Linked DNA regions of Drosophila melanogaster. The protein of the gene in region 2 interacts with the protein of the main gene of each other region in a pairwise test. Each region holds a gene or a part of one and is shown on either strand. Other genes may lie near its edges. The genes, in order: CG42329, bic, CG10510 and Sbp2.

Evidence for each region.
Region 1: the proteins of bic (region 2) and CG42329 interact in a two-hybrid assay, tested with the Drosophila melanogaster proteins (one large-scale study listed by BioGRID).
Region 3: the proteins of bic (region 2) and CG10510 interact in a two-hybrid assay, tested with the Drosophila melanogaster proteins (one large-scale study listed by BioGRID).
Region 4: the proteins of bic (region 2) and Sbp2 interact in a two-hybrid assay, tested with the Drosophila melanogaster proteins (one large-scale study listed by BioGRID).

Annotation. Positions count from the first base shown.
Region 1 is NT_033779.5:1,217,637-1,222,308, reverse strand, and holds the start of CG42329 (uncharacterized protein), read right to left. Parts: upstream 3,017-4,672; 5' UTR 2,947-3,016; coding exon 2,718-2,946; intron 2,653-2,717; coding exon 2,274-2,652; intron 1-2,273.
Region 2 is NT_033778.4:12,868,300-12,872,338, reverse strand, and holds bic (bicaudal), read right to left. Parts: upstream 2,091-4,039; 5' UTR 2,009-2,090; exon of another isoform or gene 1,937-2,008; coding exon 1,427-1,936; 3' UTR 545-1,426; downstream 1-544.
Region 3 is NT_037436.4:21,207,614-21,211,766, reverse strand, and holds CG10510 (uncharacterized protein), read left to right. Parts: upstream 1-1,682; 5' UTR 1,683-1,772; coding exon 1,773-1,943; intron 1,944-2,093; coding exon 2,094-2,969; intron 2,970-3,024; coding exon 3,025-3,549; 3' UTR 3,550-3,619; downstream 3,620-4,153. Other genes in the region: CG10508 (uncharacterized protein), read right to left, coding at 963-1,036.
Region 4 is NT_037436.4:8,302,309-8,305,848, reverse strand, and holds Sbp2 (SECIS-binding protein 2), read right to left. Parts: upstream 1,693-3,540; 5' UTR 1,657-1,692; coding exon 1,163-1,656; intron 1,102-1,162; coding exon 881-1,101; intron 828-880; coding exon 601-827; 3' UTR 524-600; downstream 1-523. Other genes in the region: Gr66a (gustatory receptor 66a), read left to right, coding at 1-513; CG7194 (uncharacterized protein), read left to right, coding at 1,859-2,027, 2,359-3,230.

The DNA.
Region 1 (4,672 bases), on a different chromosome or scaffold from region 2:
ATACTGTGTCTAACGCTGGTATTATGTAGTCTTTTACCAAATGAACTGAGAACTTTGAAGCATTGGACTTTATGTTCTTCAGTGAGTTTGCTTTTGTTTGTTACTATTAGGTTTTGTAATGTGTTGTATTGTGTTATCAATACCTTTATGTGAAAAATAAGCGTCTGAGTTTTGATCAGCGCGGTTTTATTAATACATTTATAGGATTTATCAAAAGCATCTCTAATACTGTTTATGGATATGGTTAAGTTTAGCCATTCCATGTATGTACCTTTTAGCGATGTAATCGCACTTGTACCTTTTTGGTGTAGTTTCTATTAGATTTTGTCTAAATCATTGGCTCGACTCATGTAAGTCTTTTCAACGATCTTTTGTGAAACTGATAAAGTTTTAAGGCCAGGTTAAAAGGCTGATAGGATAACTAAAATCAAAAATAGTAAGTACATTGAATTTAACTGTGGGGTTGTATCCACGACTTATGTCCCATTTTGATATGGGGAAAATTAGTCTTTATTTGTATATCAAAAGTACAAATAGAATTTTAACTTTGAGAATTGGTCAATTATTGTTATCTCGATCAGATATAAATATAGCTCGAAATTTTAATAGGTCTAAACTGTTGTTAAACATATTTTTACTTGATAGATGAATTCATTATACTCAGTTTACATCGGTTGCAATTTGCAATTTTACAATATTATTACTTATTTTAAGTTTAGGACTGAGTATAATGTGTTAGTTATGAAATGGGTCCCTGATAAGTTAGTAATTTTGTTGCAGCGGAAACCGCATCGACAACATTAATATAATATTTGGGCGGTTGAGGCTATGGCGTATAACGCAGCCCGCCGCTTTACTTCGCACCACGAAGTTGTTGATTGATGGCTGCAAGGCGCTCTTTGTAGCGCTGCCGGTCTTCCTCATTAGTTGCCGTCTTCAGTAGTTCGATGTTGAGCCTCCGGGCGCTGAGCAACTTAATCCGGCGGCCACCCCTCTTCTTTTTAGGTGGCTGCTCCCTCGCTGCAGTCCGTGCCTTGTACTCTTGTATGGTCAAGGGCTTTGGTCCCGCGGACGGATCTACCTCTATTACCTCTTTGATACTTGGCAGATCCCTTTGCTCGACAGGAGCAGGGTGTTCGAACGTCTGCTTGGTAGACATTCGCTGTTGTCATGTGCGGCGCGCCGGTGGAATCCTTTATCCTTTATCCTAATCCTACCCTCGCAGGATGCCGTGCTAATTGCTGTTGCGGCTTACAATGGTCGAGGGCAGTCTTTCATGCAGACGTCGGGTCTTTTCGGCTTGGGTGATGTTGAATTTTCAGTTATTTCTTCATTGATTATTTCTATTTTTGCTGAGTGAGTTGTGGTATTCGGCTTTCTTTGCTGGAGGTTTTCTTTCAGAAAGTCTAATTCGGCAGTTAATTTCTGTGCCGTTGCCCATGGGGGCGGTGTTTTATTTGTATATCATAGCCACTTAATATGTGCTATACCTTTATTTTTGATTTCCTGACATCCGCGTTTGCCCATTACCACACTCTACTCACTCAGTATTTTTGTTTCTTTTTTTTTCATCAGTGTCCCGTCTCTAGGTCTCCCGCACTGGTGTAAGGGGCGGCCTGCCTCTCACACCTGTTGTCGCTGTTTAGAATTCCCAAATCAAATCGGCAATATTAGCAGCATTTCCTCAGTAGTCCTCAGATCGCAGGCTCCTGCCTCACGGTCGCCATGTAATAAACCAATATATGCCACCAATTGAGAACACGTGTTTTCCTTGCAGTTGGGTGCAGCCGTCAGGCCACCTTTTTATTTCTTCTTATCTCTTCGAGTAGCAGAAACGGTTCTGCCCGCTTAACCTCTACAGAGTGTCTAATCTTACCTAAATACTGCGACTGCGCCGCCGTCGACAGCGGCAGAAGAGCAGCGTATATATATATGTATAAGAGAGAGAGAGAGAGAGCTTATGCGCATATATGGCCAGCGGCCAGCGTGGGGATGCTGACTTAGCTTAAAGCATAAATGGGTGATCTTATATCACGCTCACTTGAGACATTTATTTATGCAATGCAACTAAGTGTTGCTGTGTACTTATAGGTACAGTGTACCCTCGATATATGCACATACTACACTGGCACTTAAATTCGTTGGCATGCCAAACAAGTCTAAGCGCACACAACCTGTCTTTCCAGTGCTTATTGCGTAAGATATGAGCAAACAAAGGCTGGGAGATACGATCTATACCTGGAATACCCCATATCCCCCTTGATTTTACTCACACAGCAAGCCAGTCCAGTCCATTCATGGGATCTCTGTGCGCCAAAGAGCAGTCCTTTTCCTGCACCAATGTTGCTTCCGTCGAATTCTGCCCAAACATATCCTTCAGATGACCAGACATCCATCGACTGAGTTGGGCGGCACTGCAGGATGAGGGTATGCAGGTTCCAATACTCAAGGTGAGGGCATCTGCGCCGGCGGCTTCCATGAGCAAACTCTCGAACTGCATACGACTCAAGCAATACTTGGCTCCGGCATTGATGGTCATGACATTGCCCAGACTCTTGCTGAGATCCAAGCTGAGGCAGGATTCGTAGTTGCCCATGTCCATAAAGTGGCCGTAGAGCAGTCCTTGCGGGAACTTTCCCCAGGCATCGAAAACTGTAAGACACGGACACGGAAGGTCAGTATATAAAGTATATCCACATCGGTTGCCATCAACCGACCTCGAAGAGCAGGCAAGGATTTGGCCTCTGCTCCCGTGAGGAGGAGGCGAACCTCCGCCAGGCAAGATGCCTCGGCAGCAGATGAGGATTGGTTGTCATTCAAGGCCTGCTGGAGCACCTGGTAGCCGAAGTTGCTGGACTGCATCCAAGTCAACAGGTCCTTGGAGCTGTACGTCTGGGCAGTGGTTAGTACTCCCACCCCCATGATCCCGATCAAGGCCACGATCATCTTGGTCGGGATGAAGAGCGATGAGCTCGCGCTGCTTAGTTGCCTGAATACCATTGCTGTGTGCGACGGCCATGACGCTGCGAGTGATATTTATACCGGGCTAGTAAGAGTCTTACTCCGGCCCACGAGCCGTCTGATATGGCTAACACATATTTCTAATCACCTGAGGAGCTCTCTTGACTGCAGTAGTTAGTCGCTCGGTCGTGCAGTGGGAACTTTTTGATAACCCGTGGGCCATGTGCCATTAGGTTTATCTCGCACCCTTATGCAGGGTAGCAGGTGGGTCTATCCACCTCACTTTTGCGATATCTCAGCAGCGTGCGAGCAACGATCATTGTGACGATCGCCTATAAATCGGTTCAATGACCGATATAGCAGCCGAATTAGATTCAATGCCACACATGGGGATGTCCGTTGCGCTGCCGATGACGCTGAGTAAAAACTATTAACTGTCAGGCATAACTGCAGCATCACGCAATCAGTAGAGTGTATCCCCGGGGAAACACCTGGCCCATCGACGGGTTAAAACTCGGGCAACAATTACGTCAGTTTGTTTTATATTTCACAAATGGGTCAGCGACCGATAGTGACTTCTGGCGAACAGATCCACCGGCGATACTGGGCCACTACTGATAGTCTCAATAAATTCGTCACTAGCTCGCTAAATCGGTTGAGTGATTTGAAGTGGCTCACCTTGGCCAGTAGATTTGCCCACTTGTAATAGTTCGGCGGTTCATGGCTGGGTTATTGAACCCGCTGCCCTTGGAAAGGGCGATACTACCGAGCTAAGGCAGCTCGGTCCATCTGGCGTCGTTACTATTGCGCAATAATAGTCGCATTAATCAATATGCGATTCAAAACTTAATGTATTGCTAGTCAGTCAAAAAAGTGTGGGTATTCCCAGGCGTGAATAAACAAATAAGACAAAAAAATCGAGAGTGGGGCGAAATACTTTCTCCGCTGGATCTCCGAATGCTCTTGTCACGCATTTTGCCAAAAATATGTTTCACGCAGAGTATGGAATAAATGATACCTATTGGTGATTATAAATATTTTAATATAAAGTGTGTTATTGTATGGCAACTTGTAACCACACATTTTTGTTTACAATTATTATCTGAGCCAACGAACCAGTTAGTTGATCAAATTTTGTGAAATCATCAACTCTGCATTGGTTCCATTACTCATCAAATACAAACAGTAGAAAATAATCACTTTTTTGTTGCTTTCTGAGATTATTACAAGTGGCTCTTGATAAGTGTTTACAAACATTACTATAACTACAATACACCCGTTTACTCAATGAGTTCCGTGTGAGCTACACATACATACAGATGTGTAATTATTTAAAAAGTTGACTGGGAGAGCTTTACTCATGCCGAAACATACGTGAATTTTGAGTGGTGTGTGAATAAAGATTAGGGTGGACCGTGTTCGTGTGAAATTAATTAGGTGTTTTTCATCCAGAGAAACATATACTACCCCAAACTAAATGGTTTTCTACATCTCACAGTTTATTTACCTTGTCTTTCGGATTTAAATACAATTTGTAACCTAATTCCGTTCGCTCACACAAACTTTCGAATCGCTTTCCCAATCACTTGAACTGGATTATCAGAACATTAAAAATTTAATTAAATTTCCCTATCAGCACGTGTAATTAAGGCAACTTCAGTTGGCAAAGTTACGGAGCTAAGCCGCAAAACTGTTTTCCAACGGGCATAAA
Region 2 (4,039 bases):
ACTGATAAAAATACTAGCATTTGCATTAACCTTAATCCGTTATAGGTCGTCGAAATGTGATAAGAAGCCGCAATCGCTTGTTTATGTACAAATGAGTGGAAACTTCAAGAAACATTCCGGTTGAACTGGCCTAATCGCAATTTTAAGCCAATTTAAACGTGACTCATTTCGAAGATTTCCGACCAAAAACCATATACATATTTATATATATACATATGTGCATGTACCGCATGCTACGACTCCCAACTTTGGATTTGGACACATAATTTGGAAGTTGCGTACGGGTCATAGTTCCTGCCGAAGGAGCCTTCTGACCATCTGGATTTTAGACGTACCATACCAAATGTCAACAAGTTTTCGACTGCCGCGTGCTTTGCGCCACACCTCCCACTACCCCTTTCCCATCACCTCGAAAACCTCACACAAGAGCGTTGCTATGCATACACACACAGGCCCACACTCACACACATGTCGATTATGCAAGCAAAGAAAAAAATAGGCATTAAACTAAAAAAAAAATGCTGGAAATATGAATGGGTCGTATGGTTTTTACAGCTCATTTAATGTTATGCATGGTAATGATGGTCTAAAACAATAGTTTACAAATTATAAGCTATGCTTTCAACAATTTGGGCACATTGTTCTCGAATCGAAATTGTGGCCTCAGCTTGTTTTCGTTTTCAATTGAGGATTCCTTGAGGGCGGGGTTACATCGAAAAGTCGGAAATTGGGGAAAATCGGTAAGAGCTAGTAGTGCTAAAAATATATTTCTCTGTCCTCGCGACCTGGCAATGAATTCATCTGGAGTGTCTGCGTTGTTCCCCTAATCACCTCGTCACAATTCTTCCGAAAACCGTATCGTATATATATAGTATATAGTGTTTTATGACAGCGCATATATCTATAGATACATCTGTGTGTGTTGTTCTTGGGAGGGCGGCAAAAATTAGAATGTGTGTGTTGTTTAGACTGTGGTTTTTTTTGGTTAAGGAAACGTTCTTTAATCGCTTTGGAAAATACATTTGACTGTTCCAAACTAGTACAATTAGATTAAGATTGAAGGGTTCCCTTAGTATGTTAAGTATAGTTATTATGCTTATGTGTTCTGTTCAGCGCTCACTCGGATGCCTTTATTTTTGTATTTTAGTATAGTGTGTAGCATGACCCCCAAAAAAGTGGCTGGAGGGAGCACGAAGAATGGCCCATTCAGGGCAGAAGCGCTGGTTGCAGTCCGGAGTGGATCCGTTTCCGATTTGGAACCGGAATGGGTAAGTGGTAGATGTGTTTCCGGCGTGTCTGGTGTGTGGGTTCTGCCCTGTATGCCAGCCACTTCGTCTTGCTCCCTGGCCCCGTATGTTTTGTATGTATGTTTTTGTGTTCGGTGTGTGGTGGTGTGATTTGCCCGGGTGGGCGGGGTTGGACCAGCCTAAGCGGAGGCCGCCACCTCACCGGACTTCTCCTCCTTTGTGTCGGCGATGGCCACCTCCTCGAAGTTCTCGACCAGATCGGGCACATCATCGTCACCGGCATCGGCGGCTGAAGAGCCGGCTGCTCCGCCGGCGCCGCTCTTGCTGGCAATCTCCGTGGCCAGCTTCTTCAGCTGGTTGATGTCCTGGGGACCCAGTTGCGTCAGAATGCCGGGCACCATCTCGGTGATCGTCTTGTTCTCGCCATGACCCGTGATGGCAAACGTGTTCGTCGGCAGCGAGGCCTGGGCCTTCGGATTGTTGAAGTGGATGACGGTGCCATCGTTCTTGATGATGTTCACCTCCTCGATGCCGGGAATTGTGTTTACCGACAGCTTCTTGAGCGACGACTGCAGCTTCTTGTCGTCGGTGGCGGGCGTGGAGTGGACGATCTTCTTCTTGCGGCGAGGGGTGCCCTTGCCGCCAATGCGCACCTGCGCCTGCAACTTCTTCAGCTTTTCCGCGTTCATCTGTTCAATTGAGTACACACAATGGTCGCATCAGTAAAACGCCAATCGAATGCCGCACTTTCCACTACTCACTTTGATTTTACTAGAATTTAGCACAGAGCCTTGCCAGAAAACACGTGCGCCCAGTCGTAGTCAAATGTCAAAAAGAAATCGCCATGATAAAAATGGCAAAAGGTGTATGTATATGTGAGTAGTACTGGTAGGAAGTACTAAACGTGAGTGTTGACTATCGATAGCTCACAAGGTGGCAACCAAAGCGCGCCAAAGAAATTTAAAAATTCTATTGTTTATATAATTTATACATTATTTTTGAAGTAATACGTTTTCTGAATTTTGAATGAATTTTTAGTTTTGAATATATTCAAATTTTTAGTAGTATATGGTGGGAAAGTAAATCTACTCAGGGCATAAATCTCAATTTAATCGATTTACTTTATTTTCATCGCTTTCAACCACATATATAAGTAAATATGTTTAAAAATTTGCTATATAAAATTAAAAATAAACGTGGTAAGAAAAAAAACCAATTTACTAAACATTTGGAATGTTAATAAACATAATTATGAGCCATCATAAACCCAGCAATAAAGTTTTAAACACAATTAAACCAGATGTAATGTTTGAATTAATTAATTCTTATATTTTCTATTCCAATAGTATCGATTGCTTTGTTGAGTTCGATAGCTATCGTTGGCTTGCATCGACTACTCACTAAACTCAGCAGTCAGTGCTGCATAACGTCATCATTATGATAAATTGTAATGTTTTAAAAAATATCTATACAAAATATACAAGCTTAGTATAACAAACTCAATTTAGTAAATATTTGGAACGCAAATAAATAAAATTATGAGCCATTATATACCTTGCAATAAAGTTTTAAACACAATTAAATCAGATGTTATGTTTGAATTATCGATTGCTGTGTTGAGTGCGCTAGCTATCGCCGCTTTACATCGACTGCTCACTAAACATAGCCAGCGCAGTCAGTGCTGCATAACGTGCACCCATTATCATCATGATAAATTGTATTACTTTCAGATTAACGCTGATAAGATATAGTTAATTCCAATCGGGCTTCAATAACGACCTTCCGGTAGAGTAGTTCACTGATATTTAAGTGAATTATACGGGTGCTGCCAAAAAGCGGATAAATCCGATAAATAGGCAGTGCATTCCCTGCAACAAGTGGAATTTTCGACTTTAAATACAGATATTAACAAAGGGAAATAACCGCTAAATCCTTGTCAAACGTAAGTATTTCACGACGTCTTATCGACTATGAAACGAGCTTTTAAACACATTAACTTCTTCCGCAGTGGACGACTTTGAGTTGGACGATATAGACGATTTCGCCATGGATTTCTGGGGCATTTTCATGTTCTTTCTGCTCACCTTCCTCATCATGAGTTGCTGCGGATATTGCTGCACCAGCAGACGCCAAGGTGCCGTTCTGTCCAGTGAGTAACTGTATAAAATATATGTAGAAGTATTAGCCTATAAGCCATTAATCAAATAAAAACTCCCCGATGAGTCATTCAGAAAGACAAAGCAGCCGGAGTTTAGCTCAAAAGATGAGTTTTATGAGTGAGCGAGTGTGTGTAAGAGTATATAAAATCCTATTCGTGTTAAGAAGTGATAATAACAATTATATTTAGTCGATATACATATTTATAGAGAGAGAGAGACAGATCTGAATAATGGGAGAGAGCTTTTGGCTTGTTTGGTTTTTTTCTTTTGCCTCTCCACCGATTCGTAAACAACATTAAGTATGCTCAGCAATAAGCGGAACTTACTTTATCAGCAAGGGCCAAAGTAATTGTCTATTTATGTATGTTTATTTATATGGCCGTATCTTATCTGAAACAAGTGAATAGTCTGTTGTCCCTTTCTGGCCAGGATTTTACCAGTTTTTATCCATAATATAATAATTGCTATAATGTTAGCAATTTTAGTATAACAACAATATAATTTAAATTGTTTAAAATGACTCATCCTCAGTAGCGCTTCGATAAGGAATTGATTCATTTTTATAGATAAGAACGACTGACAATTGTATCCACATGCCACAGCTAAATACATGCATGCAGTATACCTCGAACT
Region 3 (4,153 bases), on a different chromosome or scaffold from region 2:
CGTCATTTTCATCGTCGTTTGACAGGCCATCTCTGCTCTGATTTTCGGAATGGAGAGGGTGGATGTCGACGAGGACGTCGTGAGGATGGAAAGCTCGTCTTCGGTTGAGTGGCCTCTTGAATTAACGTATGACAACGTATGTTGCTTAATTGCACATGGCTTTTTAAGCATAAGGGGTTAAGTTATATGTATATATGTATGATAGGCTAAGGAGATGTTAAAGACCCCGCTGGCATCCGACGACGCGGAAGTGACACAATTTATGCCGCTGAAACGAGGCCAATTGGAGTGGCTAAGGAGCACTAAGCTAAGTAGCCCATAGGGAACCACATGGTACCCACACGCTGGGTCTTTAGAGTTCAGTAAAATTGTTTTGCGTATCAGTAATAATAATTTAAATTTAAATTAAAACATTTTCTTCAAACATAAAACATTTTGAAAATTTTATGTTAGAAAGTTCTTTCGATTATAAGCTGAAGAAAAGTTAGCCAATATCCAATCCAAGCTTGTACTTCGTTCCATTGTGTGTTAAATGAATAATTTAAATTAGTACCGAGCTTGCGTCCTAAGAGTTTAAATACCAAAGGTGTTTCAAAACTAAGTTCTGCAAGCCACCGAACTAACGAATAATTTCCTTATCACTATAAGGCCAAACATGGCAAACACCACCTCAACCGGACGCCTACCACCCAATCATTTTAAAGTAAGCGACTTACGCCCCCAAGGCCCCCTACATACACCCACAACCACACACCCAACCATAATCCTTCGCCCACCGAAAGAGCCACCCCAAGCGACGTTGGCACGCAAATTTATCAGTTGCCCCCGTGGCAACCTATCAAATGGAACCCCTATATCCCACAACTGGCCACCACATCTCCCAGTACAGTCCGCATTTCACGACATTGTGGTTAATGGATGCATAAATATTTATGACGTCGGGCTGTGCACATGCAACTCACCAATTTCCAGTTGCTTGATCGTATTTGCAGTCCCAGCCGGGCGGCATTTTCTGATAGCCACCGGATTCGCTCATTTTCACCGCTCACGAATAGATACAGATGCAGATACAGTAACAATTGCACTTGCAGATGCGAGGCGCTTCGATGCCCAGTTAAACCGAACGACCGTCGTTTTATTATTTTCGTTTTCTGCCTGAATGTTTATGGACGTTTAAAGTCGCATTCGCAGCTTGTTTGCCGACTGTCTGCAACCCCGAAAAGTTGGCAGGCAGGAGTGCCCTTGCCACTTATCCTGCGCGGAGCTTTGTAGTTGCCTTTGTCGTCGGATGTTTCAGATTTGGGGGTTGTAACCACCCTCGATGGCAACCTCTCCTCGGCAGCAGAGTTATTTTTGTTTACAAGGCACTGCCTGCCGGGAAAAAGGACCGCAACACACAGATACACACGCTCACACACACACAGTTCGATGTGGCGTGCCGTTAGTAAGCAAGCCAGCCAGGCTTTAGCTACCCGGAAAGGAATCGTTTTTGGGGAATCCTGGAGTCGCGACGCTATAAACAACCTCGCGAGCCAAGCTTTGAGAGTCAACTGAGGAAATCAGTGGCGGGCGTTAAAGCTTCAGATGCTGTGCGAATAGTCGTTAAAAAAGCTGGTATCCAGTGTTGGAATTTGCCCGTCGAAAGCTGTGCGCCAAACTTCGATTCAGCTTTCAAACAGGCACACAATTCGAATTTAGCTCCCCCGTCAATTTTCCAAAAATTTCACCTTTGATTTACGCATTTAGTTCAGCTACAACTACACATCGGCAAAATGGCCGAAATCTTGGCACGCTTGACGCGTGTTTCGGAAAACTACCTCCAAGAACTGGAGGAGGAGCCGGAGCCACAAGGACCGCCCAAACTAACCAAGGCTCAGAAGAAGGCCGCCAAGAAAGAGGCCAAGCGACTGGCTATGATCGAGGAGAAGCGGCTCATCATGCGGGTGGGTTCAACTAACTTTCGCAGAGTTTTTATTAAGGATGAACCTAAGCAAATCCTTAATATTATTAATTTTTATAATAAAAATAATATATTAAGACTATATTAAAATTGTAAACGCATCATTTCTAATGTTGCGCCATGATCCTCTCAGGATGCCCTGATGCGCGAGCTGGAGATGGGCAAGCATATGGAGGAGAAAGGCAACGAGGAGTGGCACGAGATGTGCCGCGAAATCAAGATCAAGGAGCTAAACGAGGAGATGAGGGCTTGGGGCGAGCGCTCGGAACGTAACATTCAGGCCAAGAACGACCACATCAAGATGCTTCTGGACGACATGGCGCAGACGCAGGATCAGCACGTGCGTTGCTACAGCAAAACGGTGGAGCTGATTGATCACATTCGCGACTGCTTCCACGTGATGTTGGGCGGGGTGAAGAGCATGTATGACCAGCAGGCTGACGAGATGCTGAGGGATTACTATGAAGAGGTGCGCCGGCGCACCGAAGAGGTGGAAGCCATGAAAACGAACTCCGAGAACATAATCCATGCCACCAACATCACCACCCGGGATCAGCTGAAGGAGGATTACACTATCTACCTGGAGCAGCGCGACGATCGCGTGAATACGGAGATTGAGAACAGATTTAAGATTCGAGATCAGATTGTCCGCCGGATGACGCACATGCAGCAGCAACTGAACGACTTCGTGGAGTCGCTGAGGAGCACCGAACTGGATGCCCACAAGTACGAGAAGATCCACTGGCTGACGGAGCGGCAGGCGGCTTTCATGGAGGAGTCACGCAAGCTAAACGCCGAGGAGTCCAAGTACATCAACATGCAGGCGGAACTGCAGCGCGAAATGGTTCGCATGGATGCGGAGAACAACTCCACGCTCAACGATCTTCGCCTGGAGTTCCAGTACTTCACCAACGTGCGCAAGAAGATTGAGCTCAACCAGGAGATGGATCGCGAGATCACGCACGAGAAGTTGCGCATCCTGACCGGCGAGTGCTACGAGTTGACCAAGGTGAACCTTTGTCCCAAGCCCTATTACCCATTTCTAAATTGAAATATTATTCCAGCAAATGGAGAAGCACGTGAAAAGTGGGGAATTACTCTTGGCCCTGTCGATCACTTGCAGGAAACTGCAAACCGAATCGGAAAAGGTAATCCTCGGCGGCGAGGTATTCGACGAAACCGAGGTGGATGTCGATGAATACTTCAAGCTGCAGACTCTCAACCTGAAAGATCACGTGGACATGACCGAGGAGGAACTCGTGGAGCTAAACAAAAGTCTCAGGAACTTCTGGCGCCGCCAGGCGATGGCCGAAGCTCAAAACCTGCTGATGCTGGAGGAGAAGCGTCGCCTCACTGAGGACAATCAGCGCCTGATCGACTTTATCAAATCCATGAGTGTCACCGAGGATCCGGAAGAGCTGCGAACCGCCATGCATGTTTCATCGCCAACTCAACCCATGCCACCCAAACTTTTCGAGACAAAGTGCCAGGAATTCAAGTCCAGAAAGGTCGTGCATTCACCGACGGCACACAAGGAGGCCAAGTGGGAGGCCGAAGCCACTTTGAATGAGGTGATTCTGGACTTTTGAAAATATGTGGCATTCAAAGTTATGTTTAAATATAAAAATGAGCTCAATTAAATTGAATAATAGTTAAATTAATATATTTACCTTGTTTGCAATCGCAAGAAAAAATGCTATAAAGACAAATATTTGATTATCGAAGAGTATATTGTTTATTTTAATAGTTTTGAAATTGCTGAACACAGCATGGGTATCTCAAAGTGCCAAAATCAATATATTTTAAAACAGATAGTTTTTGTTTTAAACAGAAATTTAGCTGTACTTCTACTTATGTATATTATTTTGCAAACTGCAAGTCTTTACTCTACTAAATATTGCTAATTCCCTAAAAGAATGCCGAAGCTCATGTTTTTAGTTAATAAGAAAGCTTGCGTAGTTAAAAACTAAATAATAGGAGCAACGACAGACTCTTAGGAGACTAGAAATATGTTTTAAGTGCAACATGGAGATATGTAACTAGCTTTAGTTCAGCACCAGTGCAATCTAATCTAACTGTTGCAAATATCAATATTTCTCTCAGTGTAAAGTGTTACTGTAGTGCTTTGGTCCATCAAAATGCAGAGGCGTCTTCAACATATGGCAATGGGTATGCTTGACTCCCTAGTGTAAG
Region 4 (3,540 bases), on a different chromosome or scaffold from region 2:
ACTGCTCAACTTTATTTCCTCTACTGCGCTACACAGTACCAATCGATACCATCGCTTTTCCGTTCCGCCAAGAATCCCTTCATCACTGTTATAGTTCTAAGTTATACGTCTGGAAAATGCGTGTACCTCATCTACCTGAGTTGGAAAACGTCGCAGGCCTCCAAGCGCACAGGAATCAGTCTGCACAAATGTGGCGTGGTGGCCGATGATAATCTTCTCTACGAAATTGTTAACCACCTATCGCTAAAATTGCTCAACCACTCGGTGGACTTTTCGGCTTGCGGCTTCTTTACCCTGGACATGGAAACATTGTATGGTGTGAGTGGCGGGATCACTAGCTACCTGATCATCCTGATTCAGTTCAATTTGGCCGCCCAGCAGGCCAAAGAGGCTATACAGACGTTCAACTCGCTTAATGACACCGCCGGCTTGGTTGGTGCCGCCACCGATATGGATAATATTAGCTCCACGCTGCGTGATTTCGTCACCACGACCATGACACCGGCGGTCTAAACTTTGTTTTCTTGAATGTTTTATTCGATGTTTCGAGCACGTCCTCCTGGCACTTTTACTTATATTTATTTGTCACGAAATAAACTCTCACGAAGCAGTTCTGCGTTTGTACTCCGCACGGGCATCCTCTATTTCATTAAGAAGATCTGCGTAGGTTGCATTCGCTCCGTCAAAGTCAAGGATAGCAACGCAACAAATTTGCGCTCGCTTTTGGAGGGCATAAGAAAGCTCCCTTCTCAGCAGAGGAAAGCAATAGGGCACTTGTTGCTGCTGGCATTGGAATTTCAAGCCTTCTATAGTCGCATCTAGACCACCTTTTTAAGCGGATATTATTAATGGCTGATTTGCGAACAATTCGATTACTCACTTTCGCCGGGGCAGATTTCGCAGTCAGTGGCCAGGAACAACAATTTCACCTTGTTTATCCTTAGCCTCGCCAGAGCTTCTCGAACACCCAAAACCAGGCGGGGATGTGCACGCGCTTTAATCTCGTTTTTGGCAAAGGCGCGCTTCTGAAATCGATCCAGGTCCCTTAACAACTGAGTGGACAACTCCTTGAGGCGAGGACGGGTGCAGTTGTCACAATAGCTGGAAGAGATCAAACATGATATTTCAACGTTTAAAGAAGGTACAACCAGTGTAATCAAACCTTCTAAATCGCCGTGAGTGAATGGCATGTACTGTTTTTGCTTGTGAAGGGTTGTTGGGTGCAGGGGTTTTACTAAGTGATAGGTTTTGAACTTGTTGCTCCAGCGGAATAGCATTCGGATTGATATCTTGACCAACTACTGGGACTCCTTCAAGATCATTCTCTGCGACTTCTCTCTCCGCCTTCTTTGAAGTGCGATATACACGTACGGACTTCTTCAACCTGGTGATCTTCTTCTTGGGATCAAGGCGGGTTTTGCCCTTGGGTTTGTAAACTATGTAGCTACCTCTTGTTATGGCTAAATGTGTCTTTTGAAGTTTATGTGCCTTTGTTTGCCTTTGTGTTTTTGGTCTCGGCTTGATGACAAAGTCCAGAAGAGAGGTTTGCTGCTCCCGTTTCCTGTGCTGGTTTTTGTACTTGGAGCTGCGTGGAGTAATCTTGATCGCTGTATCCTGGACATCCTGATTCCTGCTCCTCCTTATTTTTTCAGTCATTTATTGTGGATTCTTAGTGCATCTCTAAAATAGTGTTGGTCGTCGCGGTAAATGGTGAAATCGCTTTTTCACCACACATGAATGCGAAGAATCAGCGCGGTACAACAACGTAATTAATAAAATCAAGAACCGCAGCAAATGCGGCCTCATTCGTTCCTAAAAGTTTTGATTTGGAAGTTCAACGTTAGGCTTCTGTGAAAAAATGAGTACCGCTAATCATTTTCAAAGAATTCTTGAGAAATTGTCAATCTCTGACAATGAAAGGGCCGTATATACCAAGGAAGCCGAGGAAATTCAAAACTATGTAGTTGACGAACTTAAGCGGGTAGACAAAACCTTTCGCCAGGTATTCGACGGACTCAGTCTTGGAGGTAAGTTATTTAATTTTAAATATCTACATATATTCTACATATATTCTACATATATTTCTATATAAAAACAAAACAAATAAATAGAATAATGTTAGTTACAAGACATTGTCTGGTCGATTTTCTAATGCATTCAATATTATTTTTAATAAAAGTGTAAATTGACGGAAGTAATACAAATGTAAGTCGAGATAATCCAACGCTATACAATTACAATTGATATCTCTTGCTTTATTTTGTTTTATCATTTTTGCAAGAAATGTTGTACTTTCGTAAATTCATCGTTATGTATGTACATTATGTACCTAAAAATATATGTACACGTATCTTTTAGGAAGTTACTTGGATCGCGTCAAGCTAAATTTGCCCGATGAATTTGATCTGCACATGAAACTAAAGTTTCCATTTGATATCCGACCGACTCGGATCGACCAAGGGTTTATTTATTTAGAGGCTGATCTCACCGTAATCAATCCCCAACGCATCCATCGTATTGTACTTCAAGACTGGCTACGCAATGCATTCCGCAAGGTATTCAGGTCTAATCAGACAATTGCCACTACCAGTAATCGAGTCTACAAATTAACCTATACTCTTGAGGGGTATGGTTGTGCCCATACCATTTTAGCCGTTTGTGGTAGTCGCTCGATATCTTTTGATTTGGTACCAGCATTCGAATTCTCTGGAAGCCAATGGCCGTTTGATATTTGCCCGGTTCCTGCTGATGTTAGCAATAATTGGCCATGGTTCGCCATTCCGCAACAGAAGAAGAAGTCGGCTAAACCGAGAACCACATTCATGGTTTGTGCACCACATTGGGAGCGCGAAATTATGAAGGGCAAGGATAATTTGAAGAACGTTCTACGGCTGATGAAAGGATTGCGGGATGCCCACGCCAGGAAATTGCCTCACTTGTCCAGCTACATGTTGAAAACAGTTTTGCTTCATCGCCTCGAAAGTGCTGACTGGGAAAGAGACCTGGGCACCCTATTGGTTGAGATGTGGAGTCATTTGGTGGATCATCTACGCGCTCGTAGACTGGAGTTCTTTTTGGCTAAGGATCATAATGTATTCAATCGTATGAATCAAAATGAAATCAAGATATGTCTAGAAAACGCAAGCACTCTGCTAAGAAAGCTTTGTATTGCTCAGACATGCGGTGGTAGCTACCATCATGTGGCCCAACTATTCAATATTCCAAATTAAGAAGAATTTAATTTCAAAACAATACCGAGCCTTTTTCATGCCATTTGCAGAAAGGAAAAAGCGTACATGCACACATTTGGCTCATTCACAAGGGCGCAGAACAAATATTCGATTATATCCGAGGCTGAATAAGCACATATCTTGCTGAGTAACAGAACTTTAGTGGAAGAAAAAAGAAGTTGAATCAAAAGTCATTTCGGCCGCACATTTGATTGTTTACATTGTCCCTGAACTTTGTTTAAAAATAAAGCTACGAAAAAAAATTGATTTACCCTTTGTTTATATGTATGTATATTTATACAACTATGAG